4 linked regions of the Arabidopsis thaliana genome follow. The protein of the gene in region 1 interacts with the protein of each later gene in a biochemical or structural test. Each region holds a gene or a part of one and is shown in the gene's direction. Other genes may lie near its edges.

The links.
Region 2: the proteins of ARR4 (region 1) and AHP1 form a complex in vitro, tested with the Arabidopsis thaliana proteins (2 studies listed by BioGRID, with this or other methods).
Region 3: the proteins of ARR4 (region 1) and PHYB form a complex in vitro, tested with the Arabidopsis thaliana proteins (one study listed by BioGRID).
Region 4: the proteins of ARR4 (region 1) and AHP3 form a complex in vitro, tested with the Arabidopsis thaliana proteins (one study listed by BioGRID).

Annotation. Positions count from the first base shown.
Region 1 is NC_003070.9:3,441,477-3,446,181, reverse strand, and holds ARR4 (response regulator 4), read left to right. Parts: upstream 1-1,821; 5' UTR 1,822-2,422; coding exon 2,423-2,600; intron 2,601-2,688; coding exon 2,689-2,765; intron 2,766-2,852; coding exon 2,853-2,930; coding exon of another isoform or gene 2,931-3,012; coding exon 3,013-3,083; intron 3,084-3,182; coding exon 3,183-3,558; 3' UTR 3,559-4,194; downstream 4,195-4,705.
Region 2 is NC_003074.8:7,577,192-7,581,335, reverse strand, and holds AHP1 (histidine-containing phosphotransmitter 1), read left to right. Parts: upstream 1-1,546; 5' UTR 1,547-1,798; coding exon 1,799-1,858; intron 1,859-2,083; coding exon 2,084-2,214; intron 2,215-2,306; coding exon 2,307-2,375; intron 2,376-2,479; coding exon 2,480-2,551; intron 2,552-2,639; coding exon 2,640-2,712; intron 2,713-2,844; coding exon 2,845-2,904; 3' UTR 2,905-3,624; downstream 3,625-4,144. UniProt on the Arabidopsis thaliana protein: Functions as a two-component phosphorelay mediators between cytokinin sensor histidine kinases and response regulator (B-type ARRs). Plays an important role in propagating cytokinin signal transduction through the multistep His-to-Asp phosphorelay.
Region 3 is NC_003071.7:8,137,886-8,145,012, forward strand, and holds PHYB (phytochrome B), read left to right. Parts: upstream 1-1,877; 5' UTR 1,878-2,193; coding exon 2,194-4,357; intron 4,358-4,445; coding exon 4,446-5,253; intron 5,254-5,343; coding exon 5,344-5,634; coding exon of another isoform or gene 5,635-5,764; exon of another isoform or gene 5,765-6,010; coding exon 6,011-6,266; 3' UTR 6,267-6,576; downstream 6,577-7,127. Other genes in the region: AT2G18780 (F-box and associated interaction domains-containing protein), read right to left, coding at 1-210; XTH21 (xyloglucan endotransglucosylase/hydrolase 21), read left to right, coding at 7,062-7,127. UniProt on the Arabidopsis thaliana protein: Regulatory photoreceptor which exists in two forms that are reversibly interconvertible by light: the Pr form that absorbs maximally in the red region of the spectrum and the Pfr form that absorbs maximally in the far-red region.
Region 4 is NC_003076.8:15,746,837-15,751,415, forward strand, and holds AHP3 (histidine-containing phosphotransmitter 3), read left to right. Parts: upstream 1-1,894; 5' UTR 1,895-1,957; coding exon 1,958-2,170; intron 2,171-2,659; coding exon 2,660-2,790; intron 2,791-2,871; coding exon 2,872-2,943; intron 2,944-3,035; coding exon 3,036-3,107; intron 3,108-3,206; coding exon 3,207-3,279; intron 3,280-3,358; coding exon 3,359-3,412; 3' UTR 3,413-4,055; downstream 4,056-4,579. Other genes in the region: AT5G39330 (transmembrane protein, putative (DUF1163)), read left to right, coding at 1-171; AT5G39350 (Tetratricopeptide repeat (TPR)-like superfamily protein), read left to right, coding at 4,093-4,579.

The DNA of each region.
Region 1 (4,705 bases):
TTTTCATCGAGATCAACATGGCCTCATATTGATGGTGAAATTTTTGATACATAAAGCTAGAGAGCACAATTTGGAAGAGAATAATTACTAGCTCACAAAAAAGTCTAAGAATCAATAGGATAGGAGATATAACTCAGACAACATAAGAGTGATACCAAGGAAGGAGAAAGACCAATCTATGTTATCCAACAAATGCTTTGTAGATTAGATATGAGCTTATGTTGACATTAATCTGGATTTTCGGATTTGAGATTCAACTATATTTCCATGTACGTATAGACTAAAATTGAGTTTCTATATGATCCATTGATCCTGTAACAAAATCTAGACGTCAAAATGAAAATATTCAAGTGTACATGATTTTGAGTATTGTATAATTAGGTCAACTAATCAATTACTTTTATTTCTACAAATATATTATACTATGTAGAAAATATTTACAATAATGATTAGAATATAAAGATGCTCCAAACCTCAATCGAGTACCAACATAAAATTAATTAAAGGGAAAATGTCAATGTCTTTAATTTTGTAATTGATGTCCAAAGTTCCTAGAAAAAAGATAGATTACGATTTTATGTGCGACACGTTGATGACTACTTTTATGGATTTTTTTGTTCAACCCTCGATTTTGAGTTGACATCATGAAGATTTGATCCATCATTCGTTGGCCCATATCGTTTGAAAAATCAATTCTCAAATCAATCTTAAATTTCGCGTAATTATTTTATAAAAATGGGCAATATATCCATTGTAAGATTTGTCTATTTCACGCGTCATTTTTCTTTCTACTTTGTTAGATGTTTTTGGTTAATGTAGAAAAACGATTAAATTAGAGACACTATCAATTAGAAGAAACAAAAGTCTTTTGATAAAACTCTACTTTGATCATCCACGACTGTGATCGATAACTTCTAAGCAACCTTGAAACCTGATCTTTTGAGCTTTAACTTTAAGTAGGAAAATGTCATAGTATTGGATTTGGTCGTCTTTAGTTTACATTCAATCTGGAATAAATTTGTTTCTCTAGAAAAAATAAAGAGCCAAAGAATCATTATATATATTTATTGTTCTCATGTTTATATACCTATTTTTTCTTAATAGTAGCTCTTTATTATCAAGAGATTTTTAAAAACACCTATATTGTCATAACATTTTCATAAAATTTTTAAAAATAAAATAGAAAATCAAAACATTTACCCTTTCAACAAAAAGAAATAATAATGATATTTTATATAAAAAAATATAATAAATGGGTGGGAAAGAGAAAGCAAAAGCGATCTCCAAGATTTGATACGGTGTGGTGTCTAAAAGAGTGAAACAGCAAATTATGTTTGGAAGATTAAAGAAAAAAAAGAAGAAGAGAGGTAAAGTCCAATTCCCCCTTTCATTAATACAAATTGTTCCCAACAAAATATTTATGGGTCCCTCTTTTAGATTTCCCTGGGTCCCGCGGATCCAAATTTTAATGTGGACGTCAAATCCTTTTTTTTTATTATTATTTGTCCACTTTCCTCTTCTTCTTTTTTTTTTTTTTGCCATTTGAAAACGATATAAATAAAAGTGTTTGGATAACATAAAATTTCTAGAGTCATATGGATGGATATACTACTAGTTAGGCGTATACTAATTTTCTCGTCAACCCACAAAACCCGATCTTAATATTATTCTATGAATTGCATTTGAACCATAAATTTTAAATTAGAAACTGACCAATCACATGGAACAATATAAAATTGTCTTAGTGGTTAGTACTTAATACAAATAAGACCAATCCGAAGAACCGAGCCGGTTAAGTTTAAACACGCTACTATGAATTGTAATGGTGTATGACCAAAATTAGCTTCTTTAATCTTCTGGTTTATTATTCTTAACAGTGAGTGATTCCATTTTCAGTTTTTTTTTTCCAATCACACTAATGAGTAATGACGAGATTTTGACTAAGAAGTTGTATATATCTCACGATGGTATATTTTTATTTTTTGGATTCCTTTGTACGGATTTCTTCTCCTCTATTATTTATTCGATTTTAGGAATATTATTTTCTCTATGATATTCGCATAGGCCCTCCACCGGATTTTCCATAAAATCTCTATTTATTAATACTATTGTTTTCAAAGATAAAAGTTCAATTTTTTCAACCCTAAAAGCACGGCACATAAAAATATATAATTTTCACATTAATAGGAACCAAAGATTTTGTTGGATTTTCCTCGCTGGAGATTTTTCAAAATAAAAATTGAAAAAACCAAAAAGACACACTCATAAAAGATTTATTTTAGAGAACAAAAAAATCAGAAATATAAAAAACTGTCTTAAGGAAGAGAAAGGAACAAAAGAAAACAGATGTGAGCTCTTCTTCTTCGTCTTCTTCTCTCTATTTTATTCTCATCCTCTCCTCACAGTTACTATAAGCTCGTCTATGGCCAGAGACGGTGGTGTTTCTTGTTTACGAAGGTCGGAGATGATGAGCGTCGGTGGTATCGGAGGAATTGAATCTGCGCCGTTGGATTTAGATGAAGTTCATGTCTTAGCCGTTGATGACAGTCTCGTTGATCGTATTGTCATCGAGAGATTGCTTCGTATTACTTCCTGCAAAGGTTCGTATTTTTTCAAAAAAAAAAACATCTTTCACTTTTTTTTATTCCTCGCCGGAATATTTACATCTCCGGTGGTATCGTTTGTCAGTTACGGCGGTAGATAGTGGATGGCGTGCTCTGGAATTTCTAGGGTTAGATAATGAGAAAGCTTCTGCTGAATTCGATGTAAGTTATTGAAATCTGATACAGCTTTTTGTTTTTTTTGAAGATTACGATTCGTGAGTTTGATTTAGTTTAAATGGATATTTTCAGAGATTGAAAGTTGATTTGATCATCACTGATTACTGTATGCCTGGAATGACTGGTTATGAGCTTCTCAAGAAGATTAAGGTCTGCATTTTCCCGCCATTTTCCTGTTTCAGATTACGGTTGTTTTAGTAACAATGTTGAATTTTCCGGTCATCTGAAACAGGAATCGTCCAATTTCAGAGAAGTTCCGGTTGTAATCATGTCGTCGGAGAATGTATTGACCAGAATCGACAGGTGTGATTCTTGTTGATTTCTTCACAGATTTTGGAGTTTTTAGAAACTGTTGATTGATTTGATAAAATTTTGTAAAAAAAAAAAATGATTTTTGAACAGATGCCTTGAGGAAGGTGCTCAAGATTTCTTATTGAAACCGGTGAAACTCGCCGACGTGAAACGTCTGAGAAGTCATTTAACTAAAGACGTTAAACTTTCCAACGGAAACAAACGGAAGCTTCCGGAAGATTCTAGTTCCGTTAACTCTTCGCTTCCTCCACCGTCACCTCCGTTGACTATCTCGCCTGAATCGTCGCCGCCGTTGACTGTTTCGACTGAATCGTCGGATTCGTCTCCGCCGTTATCTCCGGTGGAGATCTTTTCCACCTCGCCACTTTCATCTCCGATAGACGATGAAGATGATGACGTGTTGACGTCGTCGTCGGAGGAATCGCCGATTCGACGGCAGAAGATGAGGAGTCCCGGATTAGATTAGTGGAACTATTCTGGGATGCCGTGTAATATTATCTATCTCCGTTAACTTCGTTTTTACCTCTGACGGTGTTTTTAATTGCACGTTGACTTGACGCCGTCAAATTTTATAGATGTCCCTTTAATCTCTCGCGCCTCCACGTGGGCCTTTTTTCCTTTTCCTTAAAGCTTTTCGAATATCTTTTAATTATTTTAATTTCTGCACAAAGTTACGTTTTTAACTTTTTTAGTCTTTAAACAAAGGGAAAATTGCAATCGAACCTTCGACATTCACCATTTATTATGATAACGAGACTTGAATATGCGTTTTTTTCTTATGTATTGGGTCCTAAATAAGTCAATATCATAGACATATGGGGTTTTATAATCAGAAAGTTAGCTAGATCTGACAATTCAAGAATCAGAGAGCTAAGGTTTTTTTTTCCAGATACAAATCAACTAGTAACATTTGAATCCACTATAGTCATTAAACAGTTCCATAAATATATATCAGTTTTATGACCCAAAATACTCCTATTAATGACTATAAGCCGATGCTCTAATTTTTTTGGCTAAATTATAAATATTTCATAGATAATGAAAACAATTTAGGTTACAAACATAAAATTTGAAACTTATACATATGAATTTATAGTAAAAAAGAATAAAAATATAAATGCATAAAAGGCGGTTAATTAAAACCAAATTTTGGGTCCATTTTTCAACCTTGCAATGAAGCTAAGGGAATAGATGAAACGATGACGTTCAATTCTATCCTTCCCAAAAGAGATGCACAAGCCGATGCTCTAATGCAACTTTGAATATACATATTTAACCCAAGAAAAAAATGCTTATAATATACGACGAAGTAGTGGATGCATCATTATGCATGTGTAGATGTGTAGAGAGTAAGCAAGAAAATAAAAAGAAGAAAGAAGGAAGAGGAAGAAAGAATAAATGCAAAGCTGGAAATGGGCAACTCTTGTTCCCTTCCTTTGGGGCATATTTCTCCATAAATAGTCTCTATAGATCCCTTGTCTCTGGCACCCATTTTGGTGTTTCTTTTTTTATGGTCATGTGTTTTTACCATTTGGATCCAAGTAAGATCTTCACATTAGAAACCACGACCAATATAATTAAGCTTGGGATAGCTTTAACTTTTGTATATATGT
Region 2 (4,144 bases), on another chromosome or scaffold:
TGCGGTTGAACCAACCAAGCCCATACACGAGATAAAATTGACAACTAATTTATTTTACTTGTGTAAATTGAACTTAACCTGAAATTGGCAGTGAACCAACAAATCGACTAACTCGTTCTGCATGTTTACCTTTTATTTGTTTTTAGTAAATAATATCGTATTTGGCTGCGTCTACAGCGACTTGTATTCTAGCTTTAAACCTTTTTAAAAACTTGATATGGCTATTGGCTATAAGGATTTTCTTATAATAAATTGCTTGGAGATATGGGTGAGTGCAAACTCTTTCTTGACTTTTTACGTATAAATTTGTTAAAAACTAAGGAAGCACAGTTTAACTTTTATACGGAGATAATATAATGTAAGATATCAAAATTCATAATAAGATTTGAAAGGTCCATAATTAGTGATGGAACCTTCTTACGATGGACCCATTATCAAGTAAGAACCACTAATAATCTTTGGTTAGTTAGTATATATAATACGTTTTATGCCATTCGTTAAACGCATCCTACGTTCTTGCATGTCCCATGTCCATTCATCATGTGAGACGTGTCAAAGCGTTGATGTTTACCCAAATTTGCAGAAATTAATACAGTGAAACTAATTTACTATTTTTATTTTGGCTTGACGTGTTGAAATTGTTATTGAAAATACGAATTGTCTAAGGAAAAAATTGTCATTTTACTGTGCATGAGGAAATAGATAAGAATGGTGTGTATGAGTATGATTGGGAAAGTATTTGGAGTGACGAAAATACCAGGGATATGCAAATGAAGAAATAGTGTGGTTGAAAAAGATGAGACTGGTGTGCTGATCGTTGTAGTTGAAAATGTTACGTAAAAATATATTGTATGTAGTACTCTATGAAAGATTGAAAGGATATGAGCTATTGCATATATATTGTTAGGTTGTTTTGAAATATTGTTAGTTGAAAGAAATTTATAGAGCAAGTGACAAACGAGTAAATAGAAAAGCTTTGAGAAATCACGAAAAAACATTTGAATTGTGATAAGTGGTTGATTATAATGAAAAATATTGGTATAACACAAAATATGATAAATCCTAGTTTAATAAGAATTCCACCAAATGATTGGACGAGATATATGACTAAAGAAATTATAAGCTGCATTTAGTTTTGGTTTTGAACAACATTACAAAGTGTTAGGCGGCATTTGAGTTCTCAAAGTCACAATTTCCTTGATAAACCCATTACGTTACGATATTTGTGATACATCAATATAAAATAAACTAACCAATCAATGTATTATTATAATAAAAGAATTGCTAGTTGGACAAAAACAATGAGGATCAAATCAAAATTATATTACAAATAAAGTTTCCCTAGAGATGCTATTTGAAAGATACATTGAATGCGAGCTGTGCATATTAGTATATGCTTTTCATCAGTAGTACAGTAATTTAAATATTCGAACCAATAAAATGTTTTAAAATCTTAAGAAAAAAAAAGACAAATCAAGAAGTATCAAATGCTCTTCTTATGTCTTTATCACATTTGCAAAAAAAACGAGGAAAAAAAGGCGCGAATGGTTAGACAGTTGACAGCACGACCAACTTCCATTCTTTAAGAGTTTCTTTCTTTTTGGATTCTTTTCTCACATCCAAACCAAAATTGTAATAATAAAATACAAACTATTTAAATTTAAAAAATAGGGTTTTTTGATACGGAGGATTTTGTTCTCATCTTTTAAGTACTGAGGATTTTGTTGGACATTTTCTTACCTCCATTATTGGCAGAGAGAAACAAAGAAATAAAGAACAAAAGCAAATAACAGAGAATATGGATTTGGTTCAGAAGCAGAAGAGTTTGCAAGATTACACCAAATCACTCTTCTTAGAAGTAAGTTTTTCACATTTGAAAAGATCAAATAATCAGAAAACTTGTTTTAACGTTCACAACTTTTTCTTTCTGGTTTTAGGACTTGTAGTAAAAATGGTTTTAGGACTTATAGTAAAAATGTGTTAGGCTTTTGTAGTTTCTTTGGTAAGATAATCATGAGTTTAGGTTATGTAAAATTAGTTTCTGATTATGGAAAGTCTTTTGTTTTGGGTAAATACAAAAAAGGGGATTTTGGACAGCCAGTTCTTGCAGCTGCAACAACTACAAGATGAAAGCAATCCAGATTTTGTTTCACAAGTTGTCACACTCTTCTTCCAAGACTCTGATAGGATTCTCAATGATCTCTCACTTTCCCTGTAATCTTCTTTACACATTCTCTCTTTAATCTTTTTTTTTTTGTTCTTTTCCAAAACTTGTGTTTCTCACTGTTTTTTTATGCTTCGGGCAGAGATCAACAAGTTGTAGACTTTAAAAAAGTTGATCCCCATGTTCATCAACTCAAAGGTAGCAGCTCCAGGTAACAACAAAAACAAAACTGGCTATTTCTGATTTTAATCCAATGATAATGACATTTTCTTGATCTTGAAATGTGTAACAATATATATTGCCAAAAAATAACAGTATAGGAGCACAGAGAGTTAAGAATGCTTGTGTTGTCTTCCGCAGCTTCTGCGAGCAGCAAAATGTCGAAGCGTGAGTTTAATCGATATGTTCGTTGGTCCATTCGTTATTTCTTTGTTTTAAGATCTGATTAGGAAAATACATCGTTGAAAAATTTCAGATGTCATAGATGTTTGCAACAAGTGAAGCAAGAGTATTATCTTGTGAAAAACAGATTAGAGACTCTGTTCAAGGTAAAAAGTCAAAGAGACTTTTTTTTTTTTTATAAAACCACCCACATAACTCTTATCTAGTTATACAATATTTTGATCAACATTTGAAACTTATCTGATTCAATTTTGGTTTTGATGATCGAATCTATGCAGCTGGAGCAACAGATTGTAGCTTCTGGTGGAATGATCCCGGCCGTCGAACTCGGATTTTGAGTGAATTTCATAAACATCTCTGTCCATTGTTGTTTCATTTTGGACTCTCTCTTCTTCCTCTCTTTATGTGACTATCAAAAAAAGGTTCTTATGTGAACTTCTTTCTTTGTGCCATTGGAAGAGTGAGACATGCTAAAACGTTTCTTAATCCACATCTAAATCCCACATATGTAAAATAAGATCTCAAGCAAACATATAGTCATGAGTCATGACTACAATTATATAGAGTTTGATCAAGATAATGTACGCATCAAGGTAATGTGATCCGGACAACTTGGTTAGGTATTAGGTTGTTGTTTTACTGTAACTGTTAGAAGTAGTTAGAAGTCTTGTAGTCCTTGACCAAAGAACACAGATGGGCCATATGAATTTTAGTAGCCCAAGATGATAACAAAGGGCCCGTACTAAACATCCATGATGATCTTGGAAATCTTTTTTTTATTACGATTGCACTTCGACGAATCTCTAAAGATTTTCAGACATTTATACAATGCAATTAAGAAAAAAATAAAGTTATACTATGTGAGTGCACGTTAAATAATGTAGCTAAAAATAAAATAATGACAAAATTCTTAATTACTTACAGATCCGTGACCTGTCGTCGACTATATATGGCTCCAATTTATAACCTCATGTTCGATTTCTAGACTTCTAGTTTACCACTTATAACTTTGTATTGCTCTATACTCGTATTAATTAGTGCTCCATCTTTTTTATTTGAACTTTTTTGGGTAAAGAATGAGCGTTCCCTTCATCGTTTGTTCATAACTTTACTAGTTCCTTTAATTGTACCTTCTGTTTAATTTTGTTTTCAAGTGACCTTTTTGTCTTTTCAATAATAATTAAGATTTCCAGTTCGTAATTTCGTATGTATAATGAACCATACCATTAATTATGCAATATGACAAAAATATGATGTTTATATGTTCTTCCACCTTGTTATTATCGATTACAAATTTAAATAAGGATCATAGGGTAAATAACACTTTTTTTTTTTTGGTTATAATCAATATCTTATTCCTATTTTATTGTTTCAAACATGCATAGTATCCAAAGGGAAGCATGTTTTGGTGAAAATATATGCATAGAAGAAGAAGACTAATCAGTAATCAAGACAAGAGATAGGTTGAATAATTCCATTAAGTTTTCTCCTATCTGTAGTCTAAATCACTAGTTACAACTTTCAACACACATGAAACACATTATACATGCATCATTATTCATTAATGTGTTAGGTTAC
Region 3 (7,127 bases), on another chromosome or scaffold:
CATCACAACATGAAACTCCTTACTCTGCTTCTTCTTTGCTTCTTCTTTATCGATGTGCTTCCTTGTAAAAGACATATCTTTGGATAAAGTGTTCAACTTTTTGCATGTGAATCGTACTCTTCTCAGAGATGTCACTGGAAACTTCGAGAGCACCTCCTCCGCCACATCCTTTGGAAGATCCGAGAGCATCGTCGTTGATTGTTTTTGCATATCGAAGAAATTTTACTTTACCTTTTACTCTGATTTCTTCAGAGATTATGAGAGAACGAACACTTCAGAAATGTTAGATGTTTCTAAATTGGGCTTGGGCTTTAAAGTATTACCCAAAGGCTATTAAAGTCGTTTTTTCCAATTTGGGCTCCTGATTTATTAGTATGGGAGGGCTTAGTTTTGGGCTTTAAAGTATGCCCCAATGCCTAATAATGTCTAGCTAGTTCTTCGTTATACTAAAGAACGAATTTTGGAAATTCTTGAATTACGATTGTACCCTTATATTAATTTCATCTTTTGTCTTATTCTTATTTATGCAAAAGTTATGCAAAAGTTTTAAGAAATTAGCAGCCAAGCCTAAAGAATCATTGAGAGTTTATAAGGGTGATTTGGTAATTGAGTAGTTTATTAGCTAATTTGATTTCAGTGGCACGTGGTAAATTACTGGTGGTTTAAAACTATTGTACGTGGACGATTCTTAGCCAACGAACTAGTACACTCTAGTGCGAACAGGTACATGATTAAATTCGTGGACATCCAATCATATCTCGTCCAAGATAAGACCAAAACATATGAGGTCATTACTCACTAATAAACATTTAAACTTTTGTTTTGTCAACGAATAGTGTGTTTTTCTTTTGTCATTCCAATTTTTTTCTGTTTTCTTTTCACTATTCACTTTTGGTCCATAATATTTTATGGGTATATAAGATAATCGTTTTTGTCTTCATACATGGTAACATGGATGTTTATATATGTAATAGTGTTAAAAAGAAAAAGTGGTCGGTTATACTTAACTTATTATGATAGAGCTTTGAAAACAAACAACACGAGATGGAGAAATTAGTCATTCAACAAAAGAAAAGGACGAACGCAGTGACTTAACATGAAACTGTGAGCGGCCCAAAATCATTTATGTAATGGACCCTTAACTTTTCATGCACACGATTTTTCTCATTTATATGTTTTTCTGCTCTCTTTTTTTCCTCTTTATCATTACTTTAATTTATTTTATGTTCTTTTTTCGAAGCACCATAATTGTATGCTTTCACCAAATAATCCAAATTTAGAATCATTAATATGTCAAAAAAGAATTGCATATATTCAATAAAACGTAATGCTAAGTAGTACAATGCATGTATTATACAAAATGTAATGATATAGATCCAACGTATATATCAAAGTGGACCAAAATATATCTTATGTATTAGACGAGTTTACTATGCAAAATTTATGATTCTATTCCGCATGGAGCGTGCTAATACTACTTCGAACCCCTTTGAGACCAATATGTGATTCTATATTCTATCTAGTACAAATTATGAGAAGTATATACGTACGATGAGAGTATAAAACATTTCAATATTTGTATAGAGAGGACACCACTTGGTTGACTTGACCCACGATAAGATATTGAAGAAACCAAACTTGTATAGTACGAATTCGAAATCGTAATTGATGATGCGATTCGACAAGTCCAGGGGCTCCCTCCCACGCGCAATGGGCCCAGCAACCACGTGTGGCCACTAGAGAGAATAAACCATTAGCCCACGTGATCTTGGGCCCAATCAATCTCTCCCTCACATTAAACGACAAAACAAAAGCTCTTCTGGGTTAAATTGATAAATATCAAAACTTTAAAGGTAATTTGCTAAAATCGCCACACAAAAAAAGTCGCAGAAAATATATGAGGAAACAAAAAGCGAAGACGACAAAAAAAAAAAAAACTCTGATTTTTTTTTGTTATCTCTCTCTATCTGAGAGGCACACATTTTGCTTCGTCTTCTTCAATTTATTTTATTGGTTTCTCCACTTATCTCCGATCTCAATTCTCCCCATTTTCTTCTTCCTCAAGTTCAAAATTCTTGAGAATTTAGCTCTACCAGAATTCGTCTCCGATAACTAGTGGATGATGATTCACCCTAAATCCTTCCTTGTCTCAAGGTAATTCTGAGAAATTTCTCAAATTCAAAATCAAACGGCATGGTTTCCGGAGTCGGGGGTAGTGGCGGTGGCCGTGGCGGTGGCCGTGGCGGAGAAGAAGAACCGTCGTCAAGTCACACTCCTAATAACCGAAGAGGAGGAGAACAAGCTCAATCGTCGGGAACGAAATCTCTCAGACCAAGAAGCAACACTGAATCAATGAGCAAAGCAATTCAACAGTACACCGTCGACGCAAGACTCCACGCCGTTTTCGAACAATCCGGCGAATCAGGGAAATCATTCGACTACTCACAATCACTCAAAACGACGACGTACGGTTCCTCTGTACCTGAGCAACAGATCACAGCTTATCTCTCTCGAATCCAGCGAGGTGGTTACATTCAGCCTTTCGGATGTATGATCGCCGTCGATGAATCCAGTTTCCGGATCATCGGTTACAGTGAAAACGCCAGAGAAATGTTAGGGATTATGCCTCAATCTGTTCCTACTCTTGAGAAACCTGAGATTCTAGCTATGGGAACTGATGTGAGATCTTTGTTCACTTCTTCGAGCTCGATTCTACTCGAGCGTGCTTTCGTTGCTCGAGAGATTACCTTGTTAAATCCGGTTTGGATCCATTCCAAGAATACTGGTAAACCGTTTTACGCCATTCTTCATAGGATTGATGTTGGTGTTGTTATTGATTTAGAGCCAGCTAGAACTGAAGATCCTGCGCTTTCTATTGCTGGTGCTGTTCAATCGCAGAAACTCGCGGTTCGTGCGATTTCTCAGTTACAGGCTCTTCCTGGTGGAGATATTAAGCTTTTGTGTGACACTGTCGTGGAAAGTGTGAGGGACTTGACTGGTTATGATCGTGTTATGGTTTATAAGTTTCATGAAGATGAGCATGGAGAAGTTGTAGCTGAGAGTAAACGAGATGATTTAGAGCCTTATATTGGACTGCATTATCCTGCTACTGATATTCCTCAAGCGTCAAGGTTCTTGTTTAAGCAGAACCGTGTCCGAATGATAGTAGATTGCAATGCCACACCTGTTCTTGTGGTCCAGGACGATAGGCTAACTCAGTCTATGTGCTTGGTTGGTTCTACTCTTAGGGCTCCTCATGGTTGTCACTCTCAGTATATGGCTAACATGGGATCTATTGCGTCTTTAGCAATGGCGGTTATAATCAATGGAAATGAAGATGATGGGAGCAATGTAGCTAGTGGAAGAAGCTCGATGAGGCTTTGGGGTTTGGTTGTTTGCCATCACACTTCTTCTCGCTGCATACCGTTTCCGCTAAGGTATGCTTGTGAGTTTTTGATGCAGGCTTTCGGTTTACAGTTAAACATGGAATTGCAGTTAGCTTTGCAAATGTCAGAGAAACGCGTTTTGAGAACGCAGACACTGTTATGTGATATGCTTCTGCGTGACTCGCCTGCTGGAATTGTTACACAGAGTCCCAGTATCATGGACTTAGTGAAATGTGACGGTGCAGCATTTCTTTACCACGGGAAGTATTACCCGTTGGGTGTTGCTCCTAGTGAAGTTCAGATAAAAGATGTTGTGGAGTGGTTGCTTGCGAATCATGCGGATTCAACCGGATTAAGCACTGATAGTTTAGGCGATGCGGGGTATCCCGGTGCAGCTGCGTTAGGGGATGCTGTGTGCGGTATGGCAGTTGCATATATCACAAAAAGAGACTTTCTTTTTTGGTTTCGATCTCACACTGCGAAAGAAATCAAATGGGGAGGCGCTAAGCATCATCCGGAGGATAAAGATGATGGGCAACGAATGCATCCTCGTTCGTCCTTTCAGGCTTTTCTTGAAGTTGTTAAGAGCCGGAGTCAGCCATGGGAAACTGCGGAAATGGATGCGATTCACTCGCTCCAGCTTATTCTGAGAGACTCTTTTAAAGAATCTGAGGCGGCTATGAACTCTAAAGTTGTGGATGGTGTGGTTCAGCCATGTAGGGATATGGCGGGGGAACAGGGGATTGATGAGTTAGGTGCAGTTGCAAGAGAGATGGTTAGGCTCATTGAGACTGCAACTGTTCCTATATTCGCTGTGGATGCCGGAGGCTGCATCAATGGATGGAACGCTAAGATTGCAGAGTTGACAGGTCTCTCAGTTGAAGAAGCTATGGGGAAGTCTCTGGTTTCTGATTTAATATACAAAGAGAATGAAGCAACTGTCAATAAGCTTCTTTCTCGTGCTTTGAGAGGTATATTCAGTTCTTCAGCTATGTTGTATCTGCGGTGTATATACCAATTCGCGGGTATTTGATTATTTTGTTGCATTTGGCAATGCAGGGGACGAGGAAAAGAATGTGGAGGTTAAGCTGAAAACTTTCAGCCCCGAACTACAAGGGAAAGCAGTTTTTGTGGTTGTGAATGCTTGTTCCAGCAAGGACTACTTGAACAACATTGTCGGCGTTTGTTTTGTTGGACAAGACGTTACTAGTCAGAAAATCGTAATGGATAAGTTCATCAACATACAAGGAGATTACAAGGCTATTGTACATAGCCCAAACCCTCTAATCCCGCCAATTTTTGCTGCTGACGAGAACACGTGCTGCCTGGAATGGAACATGGCGATGGAAAAGCTTACGGGTTGGTCTCGCAGTGAAGTGATTGGGAAAATGATTGTCGGGGAAGTGTTTGGGAGCTGTTGCATGCTAAAGGGTCCTGATGCTTTAACCAAGTTCATGATTGTATTGCATAATGCGATTGGTGGCCAAGATACGGATAAGTTCCCTTTCCCATTCTTTGACCGCAATGGGAAGTTTGTTCAGGCTCTATTGACTGCAAACAAGCGGGTTAGCCTCGAGGGAAAGGTTATTGGGGCTTTCTGTTTCTTGCAAATCCCGAGCCCTGAGCTGCAGCAAGCTTTAGCAGTCCAACGGAGGCAGGACACAGAGTGTTTCACGAAGGCAAAAGAGTTGGCTTATATTTGTCAGGTGATAAAGAATCCTTTGAGCGGTATGCGTTTCGCAAACTCATTGTTGGAGGCCACAGACTTGAACGAGGACCAGAAGCAGTTACTTGAAACAAGTGTTTCTTGCGAGAAACAGATCTCAAGGATCGTCGGGGACATGGATCTTGAAAGCATTGAAGACGGGTGAGTATAGTTAGAATTTATCTAGAAGCTAGTTTTGCTTACTTCACAAAATGTGACCAAATCCCAAATTTTGTTTTTTTCATTGATCAGTTCATTTGTGCTAAAGAGGGAAGAGTTTTTCCTTGGAAGTGTCATAAACGCGATTGTAAGTCAAGCGATGTTCTTATTAAGGGACAGAGGTCTTCAGCTGATCCGTGACATTCCCGAAGAGATCAAATCAATAGAGGTTTTTGGAGACCAGATAAGGATTCAACAGCTCCTGGCTGAGTTTCTGCTGAGTATAATCCGGTATGCACCATCTCAAGAGTGGGTGGAGATCCATTTAAGCCAACTTTCAAAGCAAATGGCTGATGGATTCGCCGCCATCCGCACAGAATTCAGGTACATTTCATTGTTCCCGCTGTTGTCTCCACATATCCATAACCAAAATTATGCAATCCGGTTTTTTTGGTTCCTTATTTTGTACATAAAGAAAATGAATTTGGTTTGGTTAATTACGAATTTGATTTAGGCGTTTAAAGAATTTGAGGTTTTAACCAATTCACTATTTGTTTTGGTTATTGTTTAGTTGGAACCTAGATTAGTTTGATTTTTGTATTCGGTTTAGTCGACTTGGGAACTTTTAGACACATCCATAGGCCTAGAATTAGCAGTCAAGGAATGTAATGTTTTCAAATTGATGAAAACCAGCTCAAAAGTGTAAAACTTGGGTTTCATGTGTTGGTGTCTTTGTTATGTCTTTATTCGTTGTTTGCAGAATGGCGTGTCCAGGTGAAGGTCTGCCTCCAGAGCTAGTCCGAGACATGTTCCATAGCAGCAGGTGGACAAGCCCTGAAGGTTTAGGTCTAAGCGTATGTCGAAAGATTTTAAAGCTAATGAACGGTGAGGTTCAATACATCCGAGAATCAGAACGGTCCTATTTCCTCATCATTCTGGAACTCCCTGTACCTCGAAAGCGACCATTGTCAACTGCTAGTGGAAGTGGTGACATGATGCTGATGATGCCATATTAGTCACACTTCAGTTGGTATGAGAGTTTGTATCATTGTATGAGTGTTTGTGTGTCTAACGACGTCGGAGGAGGATAGAAAGTTTTTTTTTTGTTTCCGGTGAGATTAGTAGAGAAGAGGGAGATTATTTGCGTTCAGCTCAGCTCGCCGGAAAAAAAACGTAACAGTAGTTGTAGAGAATTTCAAGACTTTTGTTTGTGCTGTGTAAATTGACAACTCCGAGAGAAACAAAACAATGAGATAAGAAGAGAGCATATTAATCGATGACCAATCCTTTTAATTTGTTACTCGTTACATCAATTCAAAATTATTATTTGATTGTTAACCATTTATAAATCATATTATATCCAATTAGTCTGTCTACGCAATCAAGAGGTAAAGGCCAATCACATTAATTTTAAAAGATTTATGATGAAATGGTACCGTCCAAAAAGTTGAAATTTTACAAACTCCACTATATATATAAAAAGTGAGATGTTTAAATTAGGCTGGCTAAGCTTAGGATGTAACACATTAACAATAGTTAATTTAATGTTTATGATGTATCGCACTATAGTTTTGATGTGTATGCTCTCCAGGCTGTTTCGTTTTTCACATTACCCACACTAAACTCACCTTTTTTCTTAAAGAAAATTAAAGTAAAGCTCAAAGACTGAAATATTAACAATATATAACTAATCATTAAGGAATCAAAACTCCATTATATATGCTCTATAAATACTCACCAATCAATAGCCTTCTAAATGTCTCAAACCCAATTCAAACCCTTAAACCCACCTAAAACCTTCAAAACTTATAATGGTTTCTAGTACACTTTTGGTTATGTCAATATCTCTCTTTCTTGGTTTAAGCATATTGCTTGTT
Region 4 (4,579 bases), on another chromosome or scaffold:
GAAAAAGGTGAAATAAGGTTCCGATCGCGATTGCTTCTTCCGGATTGTAGATATGGGACAAGTGGAAAGATGAACTATGCGTGTGATGAAGCCATGTTAAGGTTCGAGCCTGGCTCTCAAAGGAATGCAACTTTGTTTGGAGACCACCCTATTTGCCGCTATCTTCGCTAAGTACTTTTCATCAATAGTTTGTTCTTTAGTTTGTCAAATGATGGACTTTCTAAATTCTTTTGCGTTTTGATATGGACTTGCTTTACCTAAATTAAATTCCTATAAATTAATTAATGGAATATATTTCTTCTAGATGTTAAGTGTTGAACATTCTTAATTCTCTCTCTTTACGAACAATAGATATGTTCTAGAGCAATATCATGGAGTTGTACGTGGTGTTATGATGATTTCTACACGAGGCATTTATCCTTGACGGACAAGTTGCAATTATTTTCCTCCATGATATTCAATTTTTGGGATGGTATTTTCATTCTCCACAAATGTTGCATCTATGAGATCAATATGCATGCAAGATCTCTAATTAATGGTGTGGTGCATGGTCTGCCCTCCCAAAGGTGGATCTTTATCTTTTGTGTTGTGATAGTAAATTTGTATATATATATCTAGTGTTTAAAAATTTGCTAAGCATGGGGTGATCCAATACCTACCTATTAAAAACGTTTAATCCGAACATAGCTACACACGGACCGAATGTTCTTTTTTGGAGTTTTTTATAATTTTATTAAGATTTTGGGACATTTAGATCTCTTTAAATTAATATTTACTAAATTAAAGAGAGTAGTTAAGATCCTTACCAATAAACGAGAGAGATGTTAAGATCCGTCTCATCAAAAAAAGAGAAAGATTTTAAGATCCAAGTCAGGTCACTTTTTTCTTTGGTATTAATCTCACAACTCAATTCTCAACTCAACTCAGGTCACCAAGATTTAACACTTATAATTTTACACTTTGTTTTCTTAATCATTATATACTATCCTAAGCATATATATGAATCTTTCACCATAAGTTATACCATTTATATATGCTAATATTTTCTAAATAAACCTTACAAATTTGTTGGCGCTAACAACCATTGTTTAATTTTGCTTGGGGTGGCTCTAGTTATATTATATAGACCTTAATTTTGCAGGAGGTATGTAACACCTCATATTGCTTCAGCTTAGCAATTCATATATAGCCAAGACGTGTGGACTTCTCACCCAAAGTTTCCTAGTTTAAATGTGAATGCCTCTAAACAAAAGTTCTTGCTTTCGATGTCTAAACTTAGATGTGTTACCGAATAAAGCCAGATTTACCTCCTTTGACCTTACTATATAGCCAGCTCGCTGCCTCCGCAACTCTCAAAATGACACTCGCGATCATATTAGTTGTTTCCAACAAATTGAAAAATAAAACATTTCACTCAAACAAAAAAAGATCTAAACAGCCGAAAAAACAAGTCCAATATCAAAATCTGTTATAGCAAAAAAAAAGAAGGTAGAGTATTTTGGTAAGAAAGAACTCTAAATGCCTCTACGATATAATATTAATAAGTATGTTACCAAACAACTTAATATTAGTGCAAAAAACCCTTTAGTTTGTCATAAACAGCAAAATCTGCCACTATAAGTTGTTTTCATGAGGTCAAGTTGATGAGAGTATATGATTCTCTGAAGCTCATGTCAAAAGAATAGAACCAATGTTCTTCAGTCTTGTCCACACGGTAATGCTTCAAATGAACTTGTCTATAGAGAATCTTCCAGCGTGAGAGATTCTTAGTGTTGGTGGATTGACATAACAGAAACATACCTAACATTGGAAAATGCTAAAAACTTTGAGTGAATGAATGAATGTATCAATCATGAATTAGAGATTCCATTTTTTATGGCCTAAATCAATGTTTCTCACTTGTAAAAGTTGTCTTTTTGACAACTAATCATATTCTAATTCTTTTTCTCTGCCCTTTATGGAAAAGCTTTGTGACTATTTCTTTATTTATTTCTGTCCAAATTTGATGATCTGTAAGAATCTCTTTATTGGGATTGCAATTTCAAACAAACTTTACATCTTCTTCTTCTCTCTGCTTTTGCCTTCACGACGAGTAGAGAGAGCCATGGACACACTCATTGCTCAGTTACAGAGACGATTTTGTGATTTCACCATTAGTCTCTATCACCAGGTAAATTTTAGCATCTCTCCTTAGAGATTCAGGATAAAAGTGATTAACTTTCTTGTGAAGAGAACTTAGAAATTGTGGTTGAGTTTTAAAGTCTCCTTTTTAGAGATGGCTCTCCACAGTCTTTAGGGTTCTTATTGAAGCTTTTAAATTGGAAACTGGGGATTTAAGAGTTAGGTTTACTGATTGTGAAATGGGTTATTGTCTCCATTTTCAAAGTCGTCTCCTTTCAAAGTGATTACTTTTCTGGTGAAGCAAACTTTGAATTTGTGGTTACGTTTTTAGGGTTCTTATTGAAGCTTGTATATGGCAATTGGGGATTTTGGGAATTGGGTTTAGGGTCTGTGAAATGGGTTATTGTCTCTTTTTCAAAGTTGTCTTCTTTTTAGGGATGACTACTCTCTACTGTTTTTAGGGTACTTGGAGCTTGTATTTGGAATTGGGAATTTTGTGAAATGGGTTTCTGAGATTCTTTGTGTTGGTTTTGTAAAGGGGTTTTTGGATGATCAATTCACAGAATTGAAAAAGCTGCAAGATGAATGTAGTCCTGATTTTGTGGCTGAGGTTGTTACTCTCTTCTTTGAAGACTGTGAGAAGCTTATCAGTAATATGGCTAGAGCTTTGTAAGTTTACTTTTCTTTTACGAGTTTAATCATCAAAAGCTAGCAGATATGGTTTAATGATTGGTTCATATGTATACTCAGAGATCAGACAGGAAATGTAGATTTCAAACTGGTAGGTTCTAGTGTTCATCAACTCAAAGGTAGTAGCTCAAGGTATGTCACATTTGATCTGTATAGTCTCGGTCCTTTAGTCTAATCTCGGATCTAGTCTCAGTGAAGAGCTCCTTTCTTGTTGTTCTATGAAGTGTTGGTGCCAAGAGAGTCAAAGGTCTTTGTGTTACCCTCAAGGAGTGTTGCGACTCTCAGAACTATGAAGGGTAAGCTTTTGTTTTCCGGTTCTTCTTTAAGAGAATCTCAAATTTCTGCTATGTTCATTTGATTGTTGAAACTAATTTGGGAAACAATCTCTGTTATAGGTGTGTGAGATGTTTGCAGCAAGTGGATATTGAGTACAAGACATTAAAAGCAAAGCTTCAAGATCTGTTCAATGTGAGTGAAAAGCTACGTGAATTGTGTCGGTTTTTTGCTTTCGAATTTCGTGAATAAGTCTTGCATTGTTTTGTTGCAGCTTGAGCAACAGATTGTCCAAGCTGGTGGTAGAATCCCTCAAGTGGATATATAAACAATAGACCTATCGACAACAGAACAGCAAGATGATGATCATCCAGTTGCATTCTTCAGACGAGTACTACTCGAATTTGTTGCTTCGAAAAAGAAAAAAAACTCTTGAGAATGTGTGGAAAAGAGAGGTGATTGTTGTTCATAGATCAATACTATGTATCTTTTGTATCATCATCTCTTGAATCTTGGTACTGATCTTATCTGAATAGTATGAATTTGCATCTCATAAGACCATATGAACAAGAGTGAGTTATGTATTCAAAAACAGGAATATTTCCAGACACAGAAGCATCATAAGAAGCAGAAAATTCAAGGAGAGCTACACAAGACAACGCGCAAAAGAATAGACTCTGAAAGCAAAAAGCTTCACGAAGACATTGGCAAAAGGAACAAACCAAGAACAAACACTCACAAGTGTCCCCTGTGAAAGCTGAAACCTAAAGTTAAACCCATCAGCTAATGTTAAGAAAGAAAACGTCACGCAGTTCTCACTGTGAAATACAAAACGTCAACGCAGTCTCACTGTCAAATACAAACGTCACGCAGTTCTTACTGTAAAATAAGAAAACGTCAAGCATTTCTCACTGTAAAATACAAACGTCACGCAGTTTGGTTAGATATGTCGTTGCTTTTAAAAAATTGCGACCCAATAGATTTTTCAACAGTCGTTTTTTTCTTTAAATGAGTGAAGTTTTGCGCAGAGCCAACAACGCACTTAGTAGCGTCAAGCAATACCAATCTCTCTTGAATCACTTTGCAGCTACTCAATCAATTTCAAAAACCAAAGCTTTACACTGCCACGTCATCACCGGCGGTCGAGTTTCCGGCCACATTCTCTCGACTCTCTCCGTAACTTATGCGTTATGTGGTCACATCACTTATGCACGGAAGCTGTTCGAGGAAATGCCTCAAAGCTCTTTGCTTTCTTATAACATTGTTATTAGAATGTACGTGCGTGAAGGATTGTATCACGATGCGATTAGCGTGTTTATTAGGATGGTTAGTGAGGGGGTTAAGTGTGTTCCGGATGGTTATACATACCCTTTTGTTGCTAAAGCTGCTGGAGAATTGAAATCGATGAAATTGGGGTTGGTTGTTCATGGGAGGATCTTGAGGAGTTGGTTTGGTAGGGATAAGTATGTGCAGAACGCGTTGTTAGCGATGTATA